Linked DNA regions of Caenorhabditis elegans. The protein of the gene in region 3 purifies or fractionates together with the protein of the main gene of each other region. This does not show direct contact. Each region holds a gene or a part of one and is shown on either strand. Other genes may lie near its edges. The genes, in order: capg-2, B0228.9, kle-2 and C17H11.5.

Region 1 (6,214 bases), on a different chromosome or scaffold from region 3:
CTTTTTTCTTAGAGAAAATTGTGTAACAACGGGATGGGTTACTGTATCTCTAAAAGCCATAATTTGAGATCTTGGCAGGACCCACTCAGAAAACCATCATGTGCCTTTAAACCAAAGTGTCGAATTTTCACGAAATTACTCATAAAAAATTTTGGAATTTTTTACGGTTATATTCGGAATTCTGTAATTCAGAGAGAAACTACTACAGACACTAATTAACCGCTAAAACCTAAATTTTCAGACGTCGACACTTCTAAAACTGAAACGTCGTGTTGCCTGTGACATCTGTTCGAAATCATTTTGTGACAAGGGAGCACTCAAAATCCATACATCAGCAGTACATCTTCGCGAAATGCATACATGCACCGTAACGGGTTGCGGGAAACAATTTAGCAGCCGAAGAAGCCGTAACCGTCATAGTTCGAACAACAACCCAAAATTGCACATGCCCGAGTCACTAACCTTAACTGGTTCAGGACTTTCCATGAAGACTAGTTTGGATACATTTTGGCCGACCCGGTTTCTTCTTGGAAAAGATCATCCGCTGGATTTATCATTGAATCTTGTTTAAAACATTGTTAATAACTAAAACAGGAAAATACTTTTACAAAGAAAAAACAATAAAGCAGAAAAATATAGAACGTCAATGAGATCAAATAAAAGAATTATATATAGAGATTAATAGGGTTAGAGTCTGTTCTCATCTGGAAGTTGGACATCAAGAAGAGAAGAAAGACTGTTCAAAATGTGATGGGCTACAGTATTCAGATCTGAGGCATTCGCGAAGCAATCCAGCACTCTTGTAGTGCATTTGTCGATGGCTTCTTTGATTAGCTTTCCATGGAATTTTGAATATCGTTCGAGAATTCGTAGAAGTTGTGACAGTGCTGCTAGTTTAGACAGTTTTTCATCAGTTTTCAGTTCACCTTCTTCTGCCGTAAAATACTTGCTGTCTTCGGGAATATAATTGGTTGATATTTCTTCAATAATGTCTTCAGTTAGCGATTTTTCTTTGAGAATGAACTTGATTAGTGCAAGAGAAATGAAGTGTGGTGGTTTATAATCTTCATCGCGTGGATCATCATATGCCTCGTCGTCATTTTTCGAAGAAGCTGATACAATTGAGAATAACATAAAGTGATGCATCATACGTTTAGCTGAATCTTCGTCCCAATAATCAGTTTCAGAAACTCTCTTGTGAAATTGGCGTAAAGATTCCACAATTTCTCGATGATTTTTAAAAATGTTCTCTTCATCATCTTCCATCAAATCACATTGCTTATTCATCCATTTTGGAATAAATCTGAGAAGAAGTGCCATTTCGTGGTGCACTTCAGAATAAGATTCGTCGCACAGCGTTGTGCCCACTCGAAGAGCTGGTCGGAAGATTTCAAAAGGTGTGGAACTATTACAGAAGGACTTGACGATTCTGAAAAATAAAAATGATATATGACGTCTTATAAGACATTTAGAATAACTTCACTGTTATTCTATCAAGAAATGAAAACCTGTGGTTAAATACCGAGTAGCGACAGTGGGCATATCGTCTAAATACACCGAAGATTTTTAAGTTCTTCAAAATTTTTAGTTCAAGAGAAACCCATTTTTTGGCTTCCATAATTATTAAATAGTGAAAAGGATATTAATGAAGATTTAAGACAATCTTATTTAAAAAAAAATTTTTTTATGATATTCGACCATTTTTGTATGGGAATCGTTGTTAGCAATTTTCCACTGGCGTTGCTCCATATTTAAATCCCTTTCTTAATAAATATATTTCATTTCTAAAGAATTAAGTCTTTCGTATGACCCTACCTGCTTATAACTTCTGCTACCGTAGCCTGATCTTTCGCTGCATCATTTTCTTCTCTTGGATCCCGATTCTCGTTATCTTCCTCATCTTCAAATTCGACAGGTCTCGTTTTGAAATCATACGCAGATAGTGACACGTTTACACAATTCAAGAATGTACTTGTTAATTGAATGAGAAAATCTTGATTGTGTTCACCAAAAGTCGCCATTTGACTTGAAATATTTTTTTCAAACCAAAGAAGAAGGTTTTTCATTGACTCGATAGTTTGGTTACGATCCGCAGCATCTTCAGATCCATTAGTTGCAGCGAAAAAGGGCAAAATGAATCTAAATTCGAGTATCGACAGAAGAACATCATCACTGAGAGTGTGCTCCTGGCCTTCTTCTTTTGCAAGCCTAATTTCAATTCCTTCTCGAATTAGATCAATTTTCTAAATATAATATTATTGTTTCAATAATGAACTAATACACAAACCTTCAACAAATCCAAGACTTTAGTTCGGTATTCATCTTTCATTGCAATAAGATTTGATGTACTGTGACTCTGTAGCAAATATTTGAGACGGTTCAACGTCATAATCAGTACATCTTCTGGATCCTCCAATTCACGTCGTTTCTTCTTACTCTGTTTCGTTCCATACAAATTTACAAGAACATTAAGCCCACTATCGAATGAATCAAAAACAGAATCCGGGTTGAAATGAATTGCAGATTCAAGAAACGGCTCAACTGCTTCTGGAGGAACATCGTCGTCTTCCAGTCTTGCGAGAACATCATTAGCAATTGATTTAAGGTAATCTTTAGGAATGACACTGCTGATTGCTGTCGCAGTTCCGAGAATAGGAGTGTTGGCGTATTTTTCAAATATTTCCTTGACAACTTTTCCAAATATTTGATCACATTTCGCTTTTGAAGTTCCATCGCCATCTGACATCAGCATCTGAAAAAGTTTAGAAGTTTATAATGTTTTAAAAAAGGTCTTCAATTTTAAATTTGAGAAATAGAAAACTAACTCCTTTGCATGACATGTACAGAATGAGAGCACACTCAAGATAAGCTCTCGCTTTTTTGTATCCTTCGGCAGTCTCTGGTAATGGAGGGCCATCCTTTTTACGAAGATAACGATATGCCCAGGTTATAAACATTTCGATAAGTTTGGATGCTTGGGATGCATCAATGATTTTCATTGGGCCAAGCAATCGGAAGTAACTCAAAAGAGCCAATCGACTTTTTCCTAACATGTAGTTGACACGAGGACGATAGTATGCTTCATCCAGACTTTTCGAGATAGGAAGACAAATATGCATAATTGGAATCAGTTGACGGCGGCAGGTCTCTACGTTTTCCAGATCGAGTTTCGCAATGGCATCATCTCGAGTAATGATATCGAACACACTGAAAATTTATTTTTTAGTTTGTTGATTTGGGTTCATTTTACCTAATAAATTTATGATTCTTCAGACGAGAAATTATTTGGTAAGCAGCAAGACGAACTCGTTCAGATTTATCCTGTAGTGCTGGATCAACGGCACATTTCAATCCATATTCGAATGCTGTGAGACATGCCGGAACAAATGCCATTTCATTAAGACCTTCAAAAACGGCGACGCGGACGCTGACAACAGTGTCTTTCGCGACTGTATCAATGATGTATCCCATGAGTTCCTTCACGATATTTTTTGGAATAAGAAGCCAGAATTCGCTGATTGCCTTCAAGACATGTTTCGTGGCTTCGCTTCGAATGGAAATAACATCACTACGTAATAAGTCCATCATATATCGATGTTGGTTTTCCATTATCCTATCCATGTCTTCAGTATCCTCGCCAATTAGTGGGTAAAAATTGAAAAATACTTCTGCAGCTGATGACTGTACAATGTAATTTGGAGCGTCCAGCGCTCGGTAAAGACATCCATTGAGAAGCCTTGTCACCATTTCATCTACACTTTTGTCCAGTTTTTTCGCGTGTGCAAATGCGGCAATCACATTTTGAAATTTAGTGCAGGTAGGCCTGTGAGCATATAATGCATGCTGACACATGACACTGATCACATCGGTCTCCAATTCCTCTGTCAAATCAAAGTTAGCCTCCTGATATGCATTTCTCCAAGCTGTGACGAATACTTCACCATACCTTTGACATTCAGTGCTGCAAAAATATATATAAATGGAATTCTTCAGCGTATAAACTTTACTCGGTGAGATTGAACTTTAGTATTAACTTCTCGAGTAGTATCAGTCCATTTCCAACACCAATTTTTGGGAGAATTTCAGCTGATAATTTTATACCTTCCGGACAAATCAACAAGGCTGGTGCGAAGAAAATACACCGAAGAGTCGATGGATTTGCATTGGCAATAATATCTTCTTGAACTGCCCACAATTTTCTGATGAATGTTTTCTGAAGAGCCCGACCTCCTTTTCCACGGAACTCTGTGAGTAACTCATTCCAGTCTTCTGATGGTTGTTTGTTAGGTGTTACCGGATTGCTCTTCGGCATTGATCTCTTTACTGAAAATTTCTATGGAATTATAGAATTTATTTCAACAAAAAAATAGCAAAAAATAATAGTATTAAAGTTTTCACCTAAAAATAATTATAAATAATCAATAAAATAATTCAATAATATAATTTACCTCGCAATTAAAAAAAAAGAAACACATTTTCCTTGTTATGTTCAAAACGAATTCTTTCGCGCGGCCGTCTTTCTCATTGGGGCGCACTTGCCTTTTCATTTTTTAATGCAAAAAATGCCCAGAAAATTGCATAATTTGCTTTATTCTCTTAAAATAATTATCAATATTGACTGAAAACTAAAGTTTCCAATTTTAGAAATGTTTGCTAGAGCTCCATTTGTACGTCTACTATCAACGACTAGTCGAAACTTGGCTGAGGCCGAAAAGAAAGTCTCTAAAGAGGTATTAAAATCTAGGAACCCTAATTAATTTTAAAAAATAAAAAATAATTGTTTTTCAGGCTCTAATGGCTCTTCGAAAAAAGACTGGTTATAGTTATGTGAATTGTCGTAAAGCACTTATTCAGTTTGGCGAAAATGATATGGATAGTGCTGTAAAATGGTTGAAAGAAGCTGCAGCGAAGGAAGGATGGGCCAAAGCGGCAAAGTAAGTGTTTATTTTGAAATTTTTTTAATTTGGAATGTTGACTTCACAAGGAATTATTTTAATAGTTATAGAATATTCCAGACTTGGAACTCGTGTAACATCGAATGGTCTTGTATCTGTAGTCACGGACAACTCAACAGCAGCTGTGGTAGAACTCAGTTGTGAAACTGATTTTGTGGCGCGATCTGGAGCTTTCAAGGATTTGTTGTCAAACATCTCCAACTCTGTTCTCGCAAAAGCTAAGCCACAATCTATATCGAGCGGCTCAAAACTTCAAGAATTCACCTATGATCTTGGGGATCTGACCGATTCCGACGGAAAAAATATGCGTGAAGTGCTCTCCCTTTCAATCGGAAAGCTTGGTGAGAACATGACAGTGAGAAGAGTTAAGGCTTTTAAAGCTCCCGAAGGAACAACTTTGTTTGGAGCTTCACATCCTAAAGATGGAACTGATGATATCCCGATGGGACGGTTCATTTCACTCATCGCTCTAAATCAATCGAGTCCAGGTGAAACAAAGAAATAAAGTAAAAAATTAAGTCTTAACATTTACAGGGTCAATCAGTAGTCAGCAACTTGCCGGACAGATATGCCAGCACATTATCGGAATGTCCCCGGAATCCCTCGGCGAAGCTGCAGAATCTGTGAAAACTCAAGAAGGGCTTCGTAGTCAAGAAGGGCATGATCCAAATGCTGATCCAGTTGTTGTAACTAATATTGATGAATCGGAAACTGCTCTTCTCCGCCAAGCCTTCATGTTGAATCCATCTCAATCTGTTCATGAGTACCTAAAATCCCACAATGCTAACATTCTCGATTTTGTTCGTGTAGAGCTTGGAAGCGAATAATTAGATAAAAGTGGTAGTAACTTTATTTTCATGCCTTATTAGTTTTTAGAATGCTTTTGTTTCTCTGTTTTGTTAATCGATAAATAAATTTATCGACATATAAATTGAATTTAAAGTTTAAAAAATAAACATTTGCAATTTTCAGAACATTCCTCCGTGGAAAACAATTGAACAAGAAGACGATTAAAATGCATTTATTTTATTTCAGAAATTCATGGTCACTCGGATTTCTGTCGAAATCAAATGTATTTTAAGGTCACAATCCGCGAAAATTTAAAACAATTGTTGTAATATAGTAAAAATACGAGAAAACTGCTGAGAACACTCAGAAAACATATATATTTTTGGGGTACTGTATTGGTACTGTAGGAGTAATTGGTGATGTAGGTGTACTGTAGTATCACTGAGCTCTTTGTTGAAACATGCGATATT
Region 2 (4,145 bases), on a different chromosome or scaffold from region 3:
CTACGCATAAACCAGAAGAAAATTCTACAAAACCAGCAAAAAAATCGCCTGACTTATTATGCATTTTATGCTTCAACTATCTCATCCATCTATACTACATTTTTCTGTCACAAATTTCACATCTGCTATAAATATCTGATTCTTCGTTTACTTTTTTTTGTTCGATCAACCACAATGGATTGCAAACAAGAAGTTTCTTTGCTGGAGAATCCTGTAATTTTTAGAAATTTCTGTTTTTTTCTCACTATTCTGGAACTTTTCCCTACAAGCTACGCAATGTATCTTTTGATTTATCATTCACCAACTCAAATGAAGGATATGAAACGGTGTTTAATAAACTTGGCATTTTGGTAAGAAAATCTGAATACTTCAAACCAATTTAATTCCAAATCACAGGACAAGAGCTATGGATTTGATGTATTCGTTTCTATTAATTCCTTATTTTTTCATTCCAACTCTGGTAGTGCTTCCAGTTGGATTATTTAGTTTAATTGGGTTGAAAACAGAAATTCAACTGGTAGTGCTTGTGATAATCATAGCAGGTGAATTGAAAATTAAGTAAAATAGTTGCGGCATATTGCCGAAAAAAGCTAAAACTAAGTTTTGCCCGAGTTTTGACAATTTTTGATCTAAGATAATATTCTTGGGTCAAGTTTGGTGAAGAAACTATAGCGCCAAATTTCGAGATTTCTTTTCTATTTTTCATTTCCATTTTTCAGCAACAAGTGTGAAACAAGTAGAAAAATTGTTTCAAAAATTAAACTCCATGATCTATAACGTTAAGGACTTTTCAGGTCTTGGTTCGGCAGTTGTGATGATTTTTGAAAATCGTTTCAATGCTATGTGTCCACCATATTTTCGTTTTAAAATGAATAAAAGACGAGAATACCATTGCATAATGTTTGTTATAAGTTTTTCACTACTTATATCTTCATTTTTGAGACTTGAAGATCAGAATTCGGCTAAAAATTCTTACGTCAATGTAAGATCGCTCATTTTGTAAAGTATCATTCAAGAATTTTAGTACTTTCTCTGTCCAATTCCGGAGTTTTTCACAACTGCATTTTCCTTTAAGCCGGTTTCAAATACAATGTTAATTACTACAGTCTTACTATTTTCTCTAGTGATTCTTATTCAAGTTATATTTTTCACAGGATTTAGTTTTTATTTTTTATTTTCAATTGAAAGAAGTAAAATGTCTTCAGCAACGAGAAAACTTCAACTTAAATTCTTTTATACGACGTGGCTACAGGTGACACTTTTCATTTTCTTTTGTCAATAGAAACTAGACAATCAAAATTTATTTTCAGATGTTAACTCATCTTGCTGTTATAATATTACCAATGGGATATACATTCTTCTCATTTCTACTCCTTTATAGAAACCAAGGTAAGCAAAGCTTTCAGATACTTACTTACTTATGATCACACCTTTCCGAACTTCTGAATCCTTCGTTAGGGTAGACCATAGTTCTATGTCCCGTTTGGCTGCGTCATTTTTAATAATCTATTTTCCCGAAGAACCATTCTAATTGTAAGATGAGTCGTTGGATGAGAAGGACTAAATTTTCAGTTTTGGTAAATATTTCCACAATAATTATCAGTCTCCATGGATCGATAACATCAATTTCAACAATAGCAATCAACCGCCCTTTTCGTAACAGATTCAAGATGTGGTTATTCCCGAAGAGATTCAAAAAGCGGAGAAGTAGTACGAACCTCAATGTTTTGGCTGTTTCCTCAAGCTGGCTGTAATATTTATTCCATTTTTTTAATGTTCATTTGTAAAAATGCAATTCTTTTCCTTCAATTCATATTGCAAATCGAAATCTAAACCTATATTTTAAATTAAAAACTTTAATCGAATCAGGAGAGCTCCATAAAAGCTCCGTTTCAATTTCCCTGTCAGTTTAAAATGAATATTCTTATATTCACACTTTTAATTTTGCTATAACATTTGAATTCGATGATTATGACTTGGACTGGTTTGATCCAATTGATCAAAACAATACAAGATCCTTTATGCAAAGTGTCACACCTCCACCAACTCAGCAAGGGAAACCTGATCCAACAAATTCTGACATGATGATGAAACGATTTCAAGAGGATATGGTTGGCATTCTTGATGGAAGAAGTCGTGCACATTTTGATGATTTAGCTAACTATTTCCATTCAAAAATTCGAATATGTACTTGTTTTGAGCCTGGCCGAAGCTTATCCGTTCCAGAGTTTCAACATGTATTGACATTTATCTCTGGTTACTATCAACATTTAACTGTAAGAATAGTTTCAGATTTATATGGAATTATTGGTTTTACAGGAAGTTAGATCGGACAGATGGACAGATCATCCAAACTATATAAATGGAATTTTTACGTATACAGCAATGGGTTCAGACAGGAAAAACTCAGATGGGAAGTGGACCTACGAAGCTTCAATGGATTGGAATCAGAATAAATTTTTGATTGAATACATTTGGTTTCCTTACAATTGTTCTGTATTTCCTGTAAAAGATCCATCAGAGCCGTTGGAGGATGTTGATAACTATTTAGAACGAGTTCGAACAAAGTGAGCGTTCGTATTGAAAGTTCAAATTTTAAAGCTGAACATTTTTAGATTATCAAGCGGATTATTCTTACCTGATGGAGTTGATCAAACTTTGCAAAACTTTGAAGAATTTGGGGATTGGATAACAGATGATGCGATTATTGTAGTTTGTGATGAACAAAAAATGGATAAAAGTACGTTGTAGAGACAACGAAATAATTAAGTTCACTTTATTTTGCAGATGAGTTTATAAAATATATGAGTACTAGATATCATCATATTCGAAAATATTCGGTAAATTTTCAACTTTCAGTTTAATTTTCATTTAAGATTACTATTCAGAACAATCAATTTGATCATGTAAAAAATAATCAAGATTTTGAAATAACTTTCTCTACGACTTGGACAGCAGACAATACTACACAATTCCGGGACACATATATTTTCCGGGTTAAAAAGGTAAATTTATTAATGCTTTCCGACACTTTAATACATGAATTTTCAGGCAGAAGATTATTTCCCGGAAAATGATCGTTTGTACCTTCTATGGAAAATTTACTGGGTTACAAAGAGATGCACTGTAGATGTGACACAGTACCCTGCAGTTCTAGATGGATCTGTCATACTGGGAGAAGTGAATAAAAGATTTTGTGGAATGATTGATGGTGAAAATTGGGATGTGTATCAATCATTCTTGGACCTATTTGATCCAAATGATACTAAATGGGGCTCTTGTGTTGGAAAAAGAGAGCAGAAATATGGTTTGCTGACAACTGAAAGTTATTTTTAAATGCAAGAAATTCAGATAAAATCCGTGAATACATGAATAAAGTGGTTGCAAGGTATGCAAAATGTGTAGTCTCTGAAGTTAGAATTCGTAACCTCGTGCATGCTGATTTCTCAACAACGTTTCTTCTCAGTCGAGCAAATGAAATTCAGGAGCAAGAGGAGTTGGATGTGGGATTTGTTGGATACAAGAATAAAAATGGACATTGGAAAATTAATCGAATGTATTTTGAATGTGAAGAGAGCAAAAAGAGAAAGTTTATGGATAATCTTTTAAATGTTCGTCTTAAATGTTGACATAATTTTTTTTATTAATAAATGTTGGAATATATTCAGAGATTCCAAAAATTAATGAAGTAAAAAGAAGGCAGATTAAAAATTGGTTATCAAGTACTAAACATTTTTTCTGCGATTTTTGTTTTCATAAAATACATTGCTTAATTAGAAAATGTGTACTTTTAGAAAAACCTCAAAAGTTTTAGAACTGACGTATTCTAAAATCTCAAAATCAGTCTTTCAGTCATTTGAAAAATGCCTTTATTTCCGATATGAACTGTTTTATTCGTATAGTTTTGAGACGTCATATTTTTAAGTCTGACAAGCATCACAACATGAATAAATTAAATTAAATTAATCGGTTTTTCAAATTTTGTCATTGATATCAATGTATTCTTTATTCAGCAACAAAAAAGAAAACAAACTACAAAAGATACGGTATACATTTTGTTGCTGTTAGCTGAAAACCAAACTTTGTAAATCGAATTAAACCGATATTTATTTATATGCAGTTTCCTACATTTTTTGGAGCTGTTT
Region 3 (6,204 bases):
CGAGGAGCCAAAGTTTTGGATGCCACAAAAAGGATCATGGGTGGTACGAAATGGACGGGCGGTACAGAAAGTGACACGCCCATCAATTAGTTGGTGCACCTCACACATTCGAACTCCATATGCAGTTATGGCGTAAGAATTGATGACTTTGACCTATGAGGAACTACAGTATACCGTATTCCCTCTAATATTTTTACACCTCTTTTCTCAACTTTGGCAGCTCATATCTCAGTAGTAGTTTGTTCTATAGAAAAGTTGTCAACTGATAAAAATTTAGATAGATGTTTTTTCTGTAGTTTGTAGTTTGTTAATTATTTATATGTCCAAAAAGGAGATATGAGGTGTCAAAGTTGAGCAAAGGGGTGCAAAACTAATAGAGGAAATACGGTATACGGTATTCCTTCCATTTAGGTATCGAAAGAAGAATAGTATTCTAAACGCCGAGGTCAATATTCCAAAACACTCAACAGCTAAATCCATCATTCTAGGTATAAGGAGTAATTGTAGTGGTATGTAATTAGTGTTGTGATTCATATTAAAATCTATTACATTTTCAGGATGTGACATAGAAGTAATAAACTGTCGTGGAATATTTGTTGAGATTGAATTTTCAAATAAAAAAGTAACTATATTTTCCGATTTCGTTGACCGTTCAATAATTGCTGAATTCAAAGCACGAAGAAAAGTAGAATTTGGAAAGTTTTATAAATTCTCAATTCATTTACTGGACTCGCATCTCTTCATAAAATTCGGAAATCATCATGTGATGACTTCAGTGGAAATTCCAGAAGAACAATTAAATAAGGTTATTAAAATAATCAATTGAATTTCAAATATAATGTTTTCAGACAAATAATGACACTTTATTCGTGATTGGCACTGGAAATTTTGGCATCTCCGAATGGGATAATATTTCAACAGATTATTTTCACTGAGGCTGATTAATTACATTCAAAAAGTATTTAATATTGCTTGGGCATGTTTCTATTAAAATAAATGTACCATTTTATAATTTACCACATTATTGGAAAATGTCAAAATCAATTGCCACAAAAAACTAGATTCAAACTTCCGCGCAAATGGTACCGCAACGATGCTCCGCGTTTCGCTAAACAACGCGCGCCTCACGCGCGCAGTTTGAATTGAGAACGTTTTCCTGTTTTCTTTTTTTGTCTGAATTGTGTTATTGTGCTATTTATTATCCCTTTTTTGTACATTTTCAAAATTAAAGTATGGCCTCTGCTGTTGGAAAAGGAGTGACCGCTTTCAACACCATCAAAAACATCATTTCGGAACTGAAAAAGGTCGACAAAACATTCTCCCCGAATTCGGCACAATATAAATACCTCATGGAGCAAATGAAAGCCGACCAGGTTACAACAAGAAGATATTCAAAAGCCGAGAACGAGTCAGAGAGCGTTGCAAAACTCTATTTGAGCTATATTAAAGGGTTCGTTTGTTTTATGAGAATAAGAAAGTAATAATCAATATCCATTCATTTTAGAACCCGACAGCTTAATGAACTTCAAGAGAGATATAAGGGTGGCGAGAAGAGTGTTGAAGAGGCTGCTGCTATTGTTGGATTGAAACTTCCAGAACAAAAGAAACTTTAAAATACTTAAAATTGTTATTTCTTTCTCGAATAGATTAGATTCCTGTTTTCTTTTCAATCAAAATAAAATACTTCGTTTTTAAAATACTATTCAGGTTTTTTATAACTTCCTTATGGTTTTCGTACCATTCTATATCTTTTTTATAGTTAATCATCGCCAGAGCATTGGAATTGTTGTTTCAGGTACAAATGACTAGGAATGCTCCTCCAGGTCAAGAATCGACAGATTTAGCATGGCTCGTCACACCCGCAAAAGATCTTGTCGAGAACTTCTCAATCGACGTGTTGAAAGTAAGGATAATTTTTTTTCACGGTTGTATCTTTTCTTTTTCGGTAAATAAAATAAATAATTGCTCGACTTTCAGGCACTCGCCGGATACCTCGAGGTTATCAGACAAGAAAGTGAAGACACAGATAATCAGGTGGATGCAGCGACAACTTACAGATTGTTCGATTTTCAACGAGCATGCCGGATTATTCAAGGATCGTGTGCCGTATATGGTCGAAAAGTAGATCATGTCTATGAACTGACGATTTCAGTTGTGGATTTAGTCGAGAACAAAGGTCAAGATGATGGAAACACCGGCAGTAGACGAGGAGCTGGAAGACGGAAAAATTTTAATTTGGGATCGACGAATTACGACTTGGCTGATATCGACTCACTGAAACAGGAAGCTCTAGCAAATTTTGAGAAGACAGTAAAAGAAGAGAAAAAATCGATTGATGCAGTGAGAATGGTCGAGAATGCTGAAGTTATAGAGTCTCAATATGAGCGAAAAAGCTGTTTAGTAGCAAAGCCAACCCAGTTCATGTTCAAGCTCAATTACGGCCAGCTCAATCGTACTGATGAACAAATTTTGAATGCAAAATCTCGTCCTGATGTTATCGGAAAAGTAAAAGATTTTGAAATTAAAAAGTCGAAAGTTAAACACGATCAACAAATACTCTACTCCCATGATTGTTATCGTGGAAATTTAGACCAATTCACACTACCTGGTGCTCGTTGGATGCCAGATAATAAGGAATTGGCAGCTAATTTTGGTGTTGCTGATTTGGAAGTTGAGTTAGATTTGGAGCAAGAGCATGAGAAGATCAGTGCATATGGACCGTTTAAGGTAAGTGGTAATAATTCGATGAAACATTTTCAAAACTTGATTTCTTCAGGATCCTCTCTCTGGCCGTGAAGTTGTTCCACCTCCTCGTTGGTTCATAGAGCAAGAAGCAGTTCGTCAAAATCAAGAAATTCAATCTCGTGCCACATCGAGAGCCATCACAATTGCAGCTAAAACTCTTCGAGATTCTCAAGGCTTTGGATCTCAACCAACTCGTCTCTCACAACCATTTGTTGAACGACATCGACAGAGTAATCATTTGAATGATTTCTTGTCATTTGTGGAGGGAAGAGTTAATAAGAATCGCCCGAGCACTCATCTTACCACTGGCTTAGTTGATATGTTCGTTGATAACTTTGGATCTGTTATGCAAAACGATGAACCAAACACTAGTAGAAGACCTGATGAGAATTACGCGCCCATGGACTTTGATGATGATTTTGGTGGTGGAGGAGACGATGACGACGATGATTATATTCGAAATTTGTCCAGAAGGGATGAGAAGCGAGCACCGGCACCATGGGACGAGCTGGATAAAAATCATATTATTTGGTACACGGGAGACGAGAATCTGCCAGGTATTTGTTGAATTAATGGGATTCTTTCGGTATTTTTTAGATTATATATATATATGAGCCGTGGACCGCACCTCCGGCGCGGCCCCCGACTTCTGGAGCTGAAAACCAATTTTTCTGAAACTACCGTAATCATACAGTACTCCTACCGTAATCATACAGTACTCCTACCGTACCACCATTGTACCACTACAGTACCCCGACTATATCCCTACACTAACCCCAACTCACTATCCCTCCAGAAGCTAAAACTTCGCAGACTACAAAGACTACATAGACTACAAGCTATGGACAAACGGAATAAGCGCTTTATATATAGTAAATGATATATTTCAGTCGTTAGCAAGCCGGTAAAAAAGATCACGAAATTCCAACCAAAACCCGCTGAAATGTTGGCTAGGAAGCAACGACGTGAGGAAAAGATCAATAAGTCTCGACGAGACGAGTTCATGGAAACTCACGACTATCTGCAGGATTACTACTATTGGAGAAGTGCGGCTCGTATAAATCCGATTAAGGACTGGAAGATAGAATCACTTCGTACTGCTATTCTAGCCGAGAAGAAACGAAGAATCAAGGAAAAGACTGCAAAAATCCGAGAAGCTCGTATCCAGAATATGCAGAGAAAACGGACAGCTCGTGTGATACCCGTGGAGCAATTTGAACCGGTAACAGAGGATATTCCAACGTCTAATAGAAGAACCCTCGGAGCTGAATGTAAGAAATTTCAATTTTATGAAATTTAAACTGAATTATATTTTTTCCAGATGACGACGTAGTCGATGAAGATCTTGCTGCCGAAGTCGAGCTCTCAATGTTTGGAGGTGGGTTCGATGACGACGAAGAAGACGTGCGGCCACGTGGTGAACGGCCTCCTATGGCTCCAAACAACCTAGAATTCGATGCTCTTCAAACAGATTTTGATATTCCGCCTGCTGAATATGTTCCATTAAGATTCGAGGATATTGATGATGCCGAACTGAACAGTGTTATCAATTTACCTGGAAATTTGCTCATCGACAGTAAGTTATTTGCAAAATTTTATAATAAAATTTTAAAATTAATACTTTGAAATTGTACTCTCTCAAGTCTATCAAGTAAATTTTCTATTTACAGAAGCTTTACCATTGCTCAAGAAGTTTGCTGAAAATCGAACAGATCGCGAACAAATGGCTTACGAGATGGCTAAAGCATATGAAGATGTGGATGTTGCCGTGTCAACTCTACAAGAACATGTTGACAAATGGCATTCTCGAATGGAACCAATCCTCGAAGAAGGAGAAACTCGAAAAGAGTATGATGTATGTTTTAGAGTATTTAATCTTAAAGGTGGAGTAGTGCCAGTGGGGATTTTGTCTAAATACACTTATAGTGATTCAAAACAACCGAATATCATAATAAAACACTCCAAAAAGTTTTAGATTTTTCATAATTTCCGGTCAAAGTTTTGGCAAATTGCCAAAATTTTGAAAAATATGAGCTTTTGAGGTTATTTAAAGAAATGTCGTATGTTTCGACCCCTACAATGTTTTAATACAATTAATTTAAACAAAATTAAAACAATAAAAAATGTAATAAATTTTTTTGGTCGACTTCCAAACATATGAGTGGCAAAAACTGAGTAATTGCCAGTTTTTGACAGTAAATAAAAAAATTTTCAAAAGTTTTATCATGATATTTGGTCATTTTGGAACCAAAGGAGTGGTTTTTAACAATTTCCCCACTGGCGCTACTCCACCTTTAATATTCTGGTCAACCACAGTAATTTGAAAAGTCAAAATGTCTAAATGTTTGAATTTCTCAATTATAATAATTTTCAGGTTCACGCAGTTGGTCGTGCTGTCATTGGCCAATACGATATTGAAGGTGGCACGAAACGTTTACTAGATTTGGTTATGGATCGTCCATGGTACGAAATCAGTCGATACTTCCTTTCGTGCCTCTTTATGTGTAATGTCGGAAATGTCATGGTCAGCGAGGACATGGAACTGCCACTCGAGGAAAGAATCAACTCGATGAAAATCACACTACTCAAAAGAGATATGCATTGTGAAATGTTCAAGGAGGCTGGCGCTCTTGATGCCTAATTTATAATTATTGTTTTTTTTGCATTAAATCTCCCGAAAACCATCTTAATTTATTTAAACATTCCTCATTGTCTCTACTTGTATCTCGATTTCTGGCTATACTTTCATTTTACTGTATCAATTAATTAACTTCTAGATGCCAAGTATTTTTCTTCTGTTCGTTATGGTACTTTACTGACTGTACAATAACTTTTTTTCCGACGAATTACCACTATTTCTTTGATTGTTTTTTAATTACGTCCTTCATTTTTTATTCAATCTTAAAAATAAATCGACTGGTTTTAATATCAAAGGCCCAAATCATAATTCAATTCCTGGTGCGTGGCATATGCGTTCATGAATGCAGCGCCATGTTCCAAAGATTGGGTGACGGATTGAACAACATCTGAAGAAATCATTTTCTGGAACCATTTTGTCAATTTAGGATATTCTTCTTCTCCTGGGAATTCAATTGTTGGTAAATCGACAACTCCATCCAAACTAGCTGACCACCAAATTTTCTCAAAAAATGGAAATGATAAGTAGTCTGGATAACCTGGTTGAGATCCTGAATAGTTTGAATTTGGTCAAAAAATTGTATCGATTAATTGAACTCACCAGCATAAAAATCATTGGCCAAGAGATTTTCAGCTTGTTTCAAAACTTCAAAAACTTTTCGCTGCTTTTCATCTTTCAAAGTTCGGTCTCGCATGACGGCGAAGAGCAATGGAACTGCATGGGCTACCTGAATTGCTTATTTAAAACAAAATAGTTTAGAAAATAGAAAAATTCAAGATCATATTTGAATTTCCTCCAAAATGAATAGCCACGCCCACTCT
Region 4 (4,376 bases), on a different chromosome or scaffold from region 3:
TTAGAGGGGGATGCTATAGAAGTTGGACGCACTGTATTACACCGGTTGGTAAAAAAGAGGTGCCGAGGATTTTATGACATTGTGAAGTTAGTACTTTACTACTACTACTACTACTATAAGAGTGTCTCATACTGCTGAGTTCTTAAAAAAATAAAAAAAAAGGGAATGTTGTTCGAACGAAGTTTCGGGGATTGCTTTACCACATAAAAAATTTGAGAAAAGATGAAAACTGAGAAAATACAAAACACTTGTTGCTCGCTCTAATATTTTTATTTTTTTGAGGCATAACTTAGTCTGAGAATTGCAGAAGATCGTCAAGATCTGATATTTTTAGAAACCGGCAAATGCATAAGTTTCCCAATACCGAAAATTTTTGGATCACTTACTGTTAAACAAAAATTAAATTTAACACTCTTAGCACAGGGCTAAAGTTTCTGATTTTTCAGCACTTGTACTCACAAATTTAATCAAGAAATGTTTCAATGTGTTGAAAAAATTAATTTGAAAAATTTACAAAATATTTTATTTGTAAAAAAACAATGTTCGGAGCATTGAATTATAGAACTAACACAGTAATGTGTTGAAATGTGTTTAAATGATCGTTTAGATTTCCTTTCGAATTAATGGAGCTCCATCAAAGCGCTTCTTGTTCTCGATTCCAAAGAGTAATCTGATAGCCCGGCAAATGAACCGTATTACTACGTTACATGGTCGATTATATTTTTCTCGTTTCATTCTATCGTACACTTTCATTGCGGCAATGGAAATTCTGAAAATGAACTAGAGTTCAGAAAACAATAGTTCAAAATGTTAGGTGACCTCTGGTAGTCGAGCCAATACTTGATGGTCATGTAATCATATCTACAGGTTTCCATTGCAACCGAAAATTCTCTGAAAACTAAGAATATGAAATAACGATACGGCATTGCAATTCACATAATAGCACCATCATCGTTTTCCGGGCATACCGGAGGAACTCCAACCCAGTCGTTCAATTTATTTCGTGGTATGGGACCTGGCGGAGCTTCACCGTTCATCAGTTTGTTGAGAGTGTACTGATCAGGAAAGACGTATGTCTCGGCTGGATGGTGACTGCAGACTGAACCAGAAAAACTATGTATTAAAGAAAGTATTTCAAATGTATTTTTCTAATATCACAAATACTAGCATACAGAGAAATCTCATATATCTGATGTTTCAAATTCCTCTAGGTTTCGAATTGAGAGATTTTTCTTTAAAAAATTTGGACCGACCTAAAAATGTCGAAAATTTTTAGGTAGACTCAATAAAAACTTAAAATTGACTTTTGTTCTAAACTTCATTGAACTTCAAAAAATTTTTTAACTTTTTTATTAGGTCAAGGAAACTTTTGTTTTATTTTATCAGTTTTTTTCCACTTTTTGATCTCAAAACTCTGCCAACAAAACATTGTTTTCCGTTAAACCTCTTTGCGACATACTATTTCGGCTCTTTTGAAAAACAAATTATATTGTTCTTATATTGCACTTATTTTGTATCTAAAGGAAGCCTATCAATTGAAGGTTATTTGTCTTAAATTTTAGTTTTCGGCCATATTAGAAAGAATATGAGGGGAAGTTAAATAATTCGAGGAAGTACGAGAAAACTTGACTGATAAACGGAAAAAAGCCCGCATGGGGTGGGGCCTATTTTAGAACTTCGTGACGGTTGGCTATTTCCGCCCATTTTTTGGTTTGTTTTTTAAGTCTACGGTTGAAAAATTGAAAAATAAATTTAAATTGGCGGCAACGATACTACGCGCTGAATCCTGATCGACGCGAAGACACAAAACAGTAAAAATGTGTAATTTTCATTGATGGCCAATTCAGTGCGTTATATCGTTGCCGCCGATTTAAATTTATGTTTCAATTTTCTAACCGTTACATAGAAAATGAACAAAAAACTCATCATAAGGATAAATATGAATAAATAAATGAATAAATAAAATTCCTCCCATGTGGGCTTTTTTGCGTTTTTCGGTCAAATTTTCTTGAACTTCCTCGAATTTTTTTACAGTCTTTCAAATGTAATGTAGATAAATTATTTATTTTTGGATGAGAAAACATCATTTTTTATTGAAACTTGGAAAAAATGGACTGACCTCGTGAAAGAATTTTTTCAAGTATTTTCATTCCTTCTAATGGGGTTATTCAAGTAATGTCGGAAAATTAAAAAGTGTAGAAAAATTACGTCACAACTGTATTCAAGTATATAAAAACATGTATTTAAATACATTTGTGACGTCACAAATGTATTTAAATACATTTTGCTACATTACTTGAATAAGCCCATAAATTTCAAACGATTGCGATCATTATTCAAGTGTTTACAAATAACGTTTGCTTTGTACAAAAATATTGAAATTTCCAATAAAAATTATGAAAAAAAACATTTTGAAAAAGGTAGAATGTTTCATTTACTGTTTTTTTTTTGGAATTATAATTGATTTCGTTTTTTGAAAAATAGTTTTGAATGCAGAAAAACCACTTTTGTTCATGAATACTAAAACTTACAGCATGGTGCATCTAAATCGCACTCTTTTAGATGTCTCATAGCTATTTTTGCTTTTTCGGTCAGTAGTTTAACAAATCCAGTCATCGTTGCCTATACAGTCTGAAAACCTTGTAACATTGTTAAGAGAGAACTAAACAAAATTAAGTTTTCAATTAAAATCAATATATTTTACAAAAAAATATAGAGAACATTAAAAAATGAATGTAATGAAGAGATGATGACTTGTATTTGAATTTGGATTCCAATACTGTCAGACAAGAAAAATTGAAACAAGTGTAAACAGGTTAACATGAGAAATTGACGAGATTGACTTTGAAACACTTTTTGGCAATCACAACATAAACACACGTCGTGGCTAGCAGTAAAGAGGGAGAAAAAGTACTGTACGAAAAAAATACCGCATAGAGTTGTTGTTGATGTTTTTGTTATTGGACAATAAGGAGAAAATTTGGAATGGAAAAGATGGAAAAGATGGGGAAAGGGAGAAAATTGCAGGGTTATGAGAAGAAATGACTAGTTGAAGCACGTTGAGACAACTGGAAGGAACATAAATGACATAGAGTGATGTTTTTTATACAGAATGAAAAAAAAGAACGCGATGTTATTATTTCGTTTTGTTGAACCAATTACTGAATATTCCAAAACGTCGCTTCTTTTTTTTCTGACTTCTGGATGAAGAACTTGTCGACACACTGTCATCGCCAGCATTCTCACCGTTCGCCTCAAGTTCTGTCGGGCTACGTGGCGCGGCGACAGTAATTCCAGCCTCCGAAGGAGCGTTGCTCATATTTTGAACAATTTCTGGTTTCGACAAATTCGAGAGTCCCTGCCTGTTCACCGTGTTACCGGTGTTGAGGTTGACTGGGAACGTGGCTACTGTATGCACACTCTTCCCGCTTCCTGATCTTCGGAGCTTGCTACTTGGTCGCGTTGAAGGTCTAGAAACACTTTCAAATAATTTTAGACTAAAGAATGCAATAGCGGAGAAAAAAATGTTCAAGTTAAACATTTTTACTTATTTTCACCTTTGCTCTTGCTTTCACTAAATGTATTTTGAAGATGATGTACAAGAAAAGTACTGCAAATTAAATCGAAAAACGTTTTTTAAAAATATTACCTTTCCAAAATTCATTTACAGTGATCGCATTAAAAAATCAATATTACACTCCGCCTGTAGGTTTTTTTGCACATTTCAACATAAAATCTACTGAATTTCTGATATTTTTGTTTAAAATCCAAAAAAATCAATAGCTAAAATTCGTTTTAAAAAAACTGTTGCTTGAAATGATCGAAATTTGTGATTATAATACTTCATATTTCAGTATAACACTTTTTTCACAAACATCTTATTCTCGAAAACTTCCTCCTACAACATTTAACATTCAAATTTTCGCAACTCACTCATAAGGTGTCTCTTGAGGTGCGTCAGTGGCTACCATTTGCTTCATATTATCAAGCCAGCTACGAATTTTGAATAAATCGATGGGATCGATATTCACACTTCCAGAGCTGCGCATTGCAGGTGGTGAATTGATCAGCAACGCAGCACCTTCTTCGGTGAAAAGAAGCCCATCGTCGTCGCGCTCTTCAAAATTTGAAGGGGTTGGGTAAATAATTAGATTTGGTACACTTTATATATATTTTTCAATGCATTCTCATTTCAAGTTTGTTACGCGAACTCAACTGCGGCATTGCGATTTTATGTAGCTCACAAGAATAAAAAATTTCAATTTAACATAATTTTGTTAAAATAGAACAGAATGGCGGAACAACAAAAATTTTAATTAACTAGAAAAACAATTCAAAGAGAACGGAGAAAGTTTGATTAGGTTTGTTATATTCTA

The links.
Region 1: the proteins of kle-2 (region 3) and capg-2 purify together in Caenorhabditis elegans (affinity purification with western blotting; 2 studies listed by BioGRID, with this or other methods). This does not show direct contact.
Region 2: the proteins of kle-2 (region 3) and B0228.9 fractionate together in Caenorhabditis elegans (co-fractionation; one large-scale study listed by BioGRID). This does not show direct contact.
Region 4: the proteins of kle-2 (region 3) and C17H11.5 fractionate together in Caenorhabditis elegans (co-fractionation; one large-scale study listed by BioGRID). This does not show direct contact.

The regions. Positions count from the first base shown.
Region 1 is NC_003283.11:12,269,982-12,276,195, reverse strand, and holds capg-2 (CAP-G condensin subunit), read right to left. Parts: upstream 4,324-6,214; 5' UTR 4,313-4,323; coding exon 4,008-4,312; intron 3,962-4,007; coding exon 3,251-3,961; intron 3,208-3,250; coding exon 2,826-3,207; intron 2,753-2,825; coding exon 2,288-2,752; intron 2,244-2,287; coding exon 1,816-2,243; intron 1,430-1,815; coding exon 688-1,429; 3' UTR 572-687; downstream 1-571. Other genes in the region: bnc-1 (Basonuclin zinc finger protein homolog), read left to right, coding at 242-571; tsfm-1 (Elongation factor Ts, mitochondrial), read left to right, coding at 4,647-4,730, 4,789-4,934, 5,016-5,443, 5,490-5,782.
Region 2 is NC_003280.10:7,761,546-7,765,690, reverse strand, and holds B0228.9 (uncharacterized protein), read left to right. Parts: upstream 1-2,021; coding exon 2,022-2,276; intron 2,277-2,319; coding exon 2,320-2,567; intron 2,568-2,615; coding exon 2,616-2,740; intron 2,741-2,787; coding exon 2,788-2,840; intron 2,841-2,888; coding exon 2,889-3,005; intron 3,006-3,051; coding exon 3,052-3,307; intron 3,308-3,351; coding exon 3,352-3,629; downstream 3,630-4,145. Other genes in the region: srh-39 (Serpentine Receptor, class H), read left to right, coding at 175-350, 397-542, 795-982, 1,025-1,252, 1,311-1,389, 1,573-1,754.
Region 3 is NC_003281.10:7,939,922-7,946,125, forward strand, and holds kle-2 (Condensin-2 complex subunit kle-2), read left to right. Parts: upstream 1-1,795; 5' UTR 1,796-1,801; coding exon 1,802-1,903; intron 1,904-1,977; coding exon 1,978-2,727; intron 2,728-2,776; coding exon 2,777-3,302; intron 3,303-3,635; coding exon 3,636-4,016; intron 4,017-4,066; coding exon 4,067-4,321; intron 4,322-4,415; coding exon 4,416-4,600; intron 4,601-5,119; coding exon 5,120-5,386; 3' UTR 5,387-5,672; downstream 5,673-6,204. Other genes in the region: C29E4.10 (Putative galactocerebrosidase), read left to right, coding at 1-132, 412-509, 558-805, 849-935; C29E4.12 (Protein FMC1 homolog), read left to right, coding at 1,233-1,450, 1,505-1,613; gsto-1 (Glutathione transferase omega-1), read right to left, coding at 5,674-5,933, 5,984-6,110. UniProt on the Caenorhabditis elegans protein: Regulatory subunit of the condensin II complex, a complex that seems to play a role in prophase chromosome condensation and in chromosome segregation in mitosis and in meiosis.
Region 4 is NC_003284.9:8,182,501-8,186,876, forward strand, and holds C17H11.5 (Phage protein), read right to left. Parts: upstream 2,634-4,376; 5' UTR 2,617-2,633; coding exon 2,532-2,616; intron 1,100-2,531; coding exon 937-1,099; intron 892-936; coding exon 820-891; intron 770-819; coding exon 604-769; 3' UTR 508-603; downstream 1-507. Other genes in the region: C17H11.6 (RBR-type E3 ubiquitin transferase), read right to left, coding at 3,137-3,470, 3,934-4,117.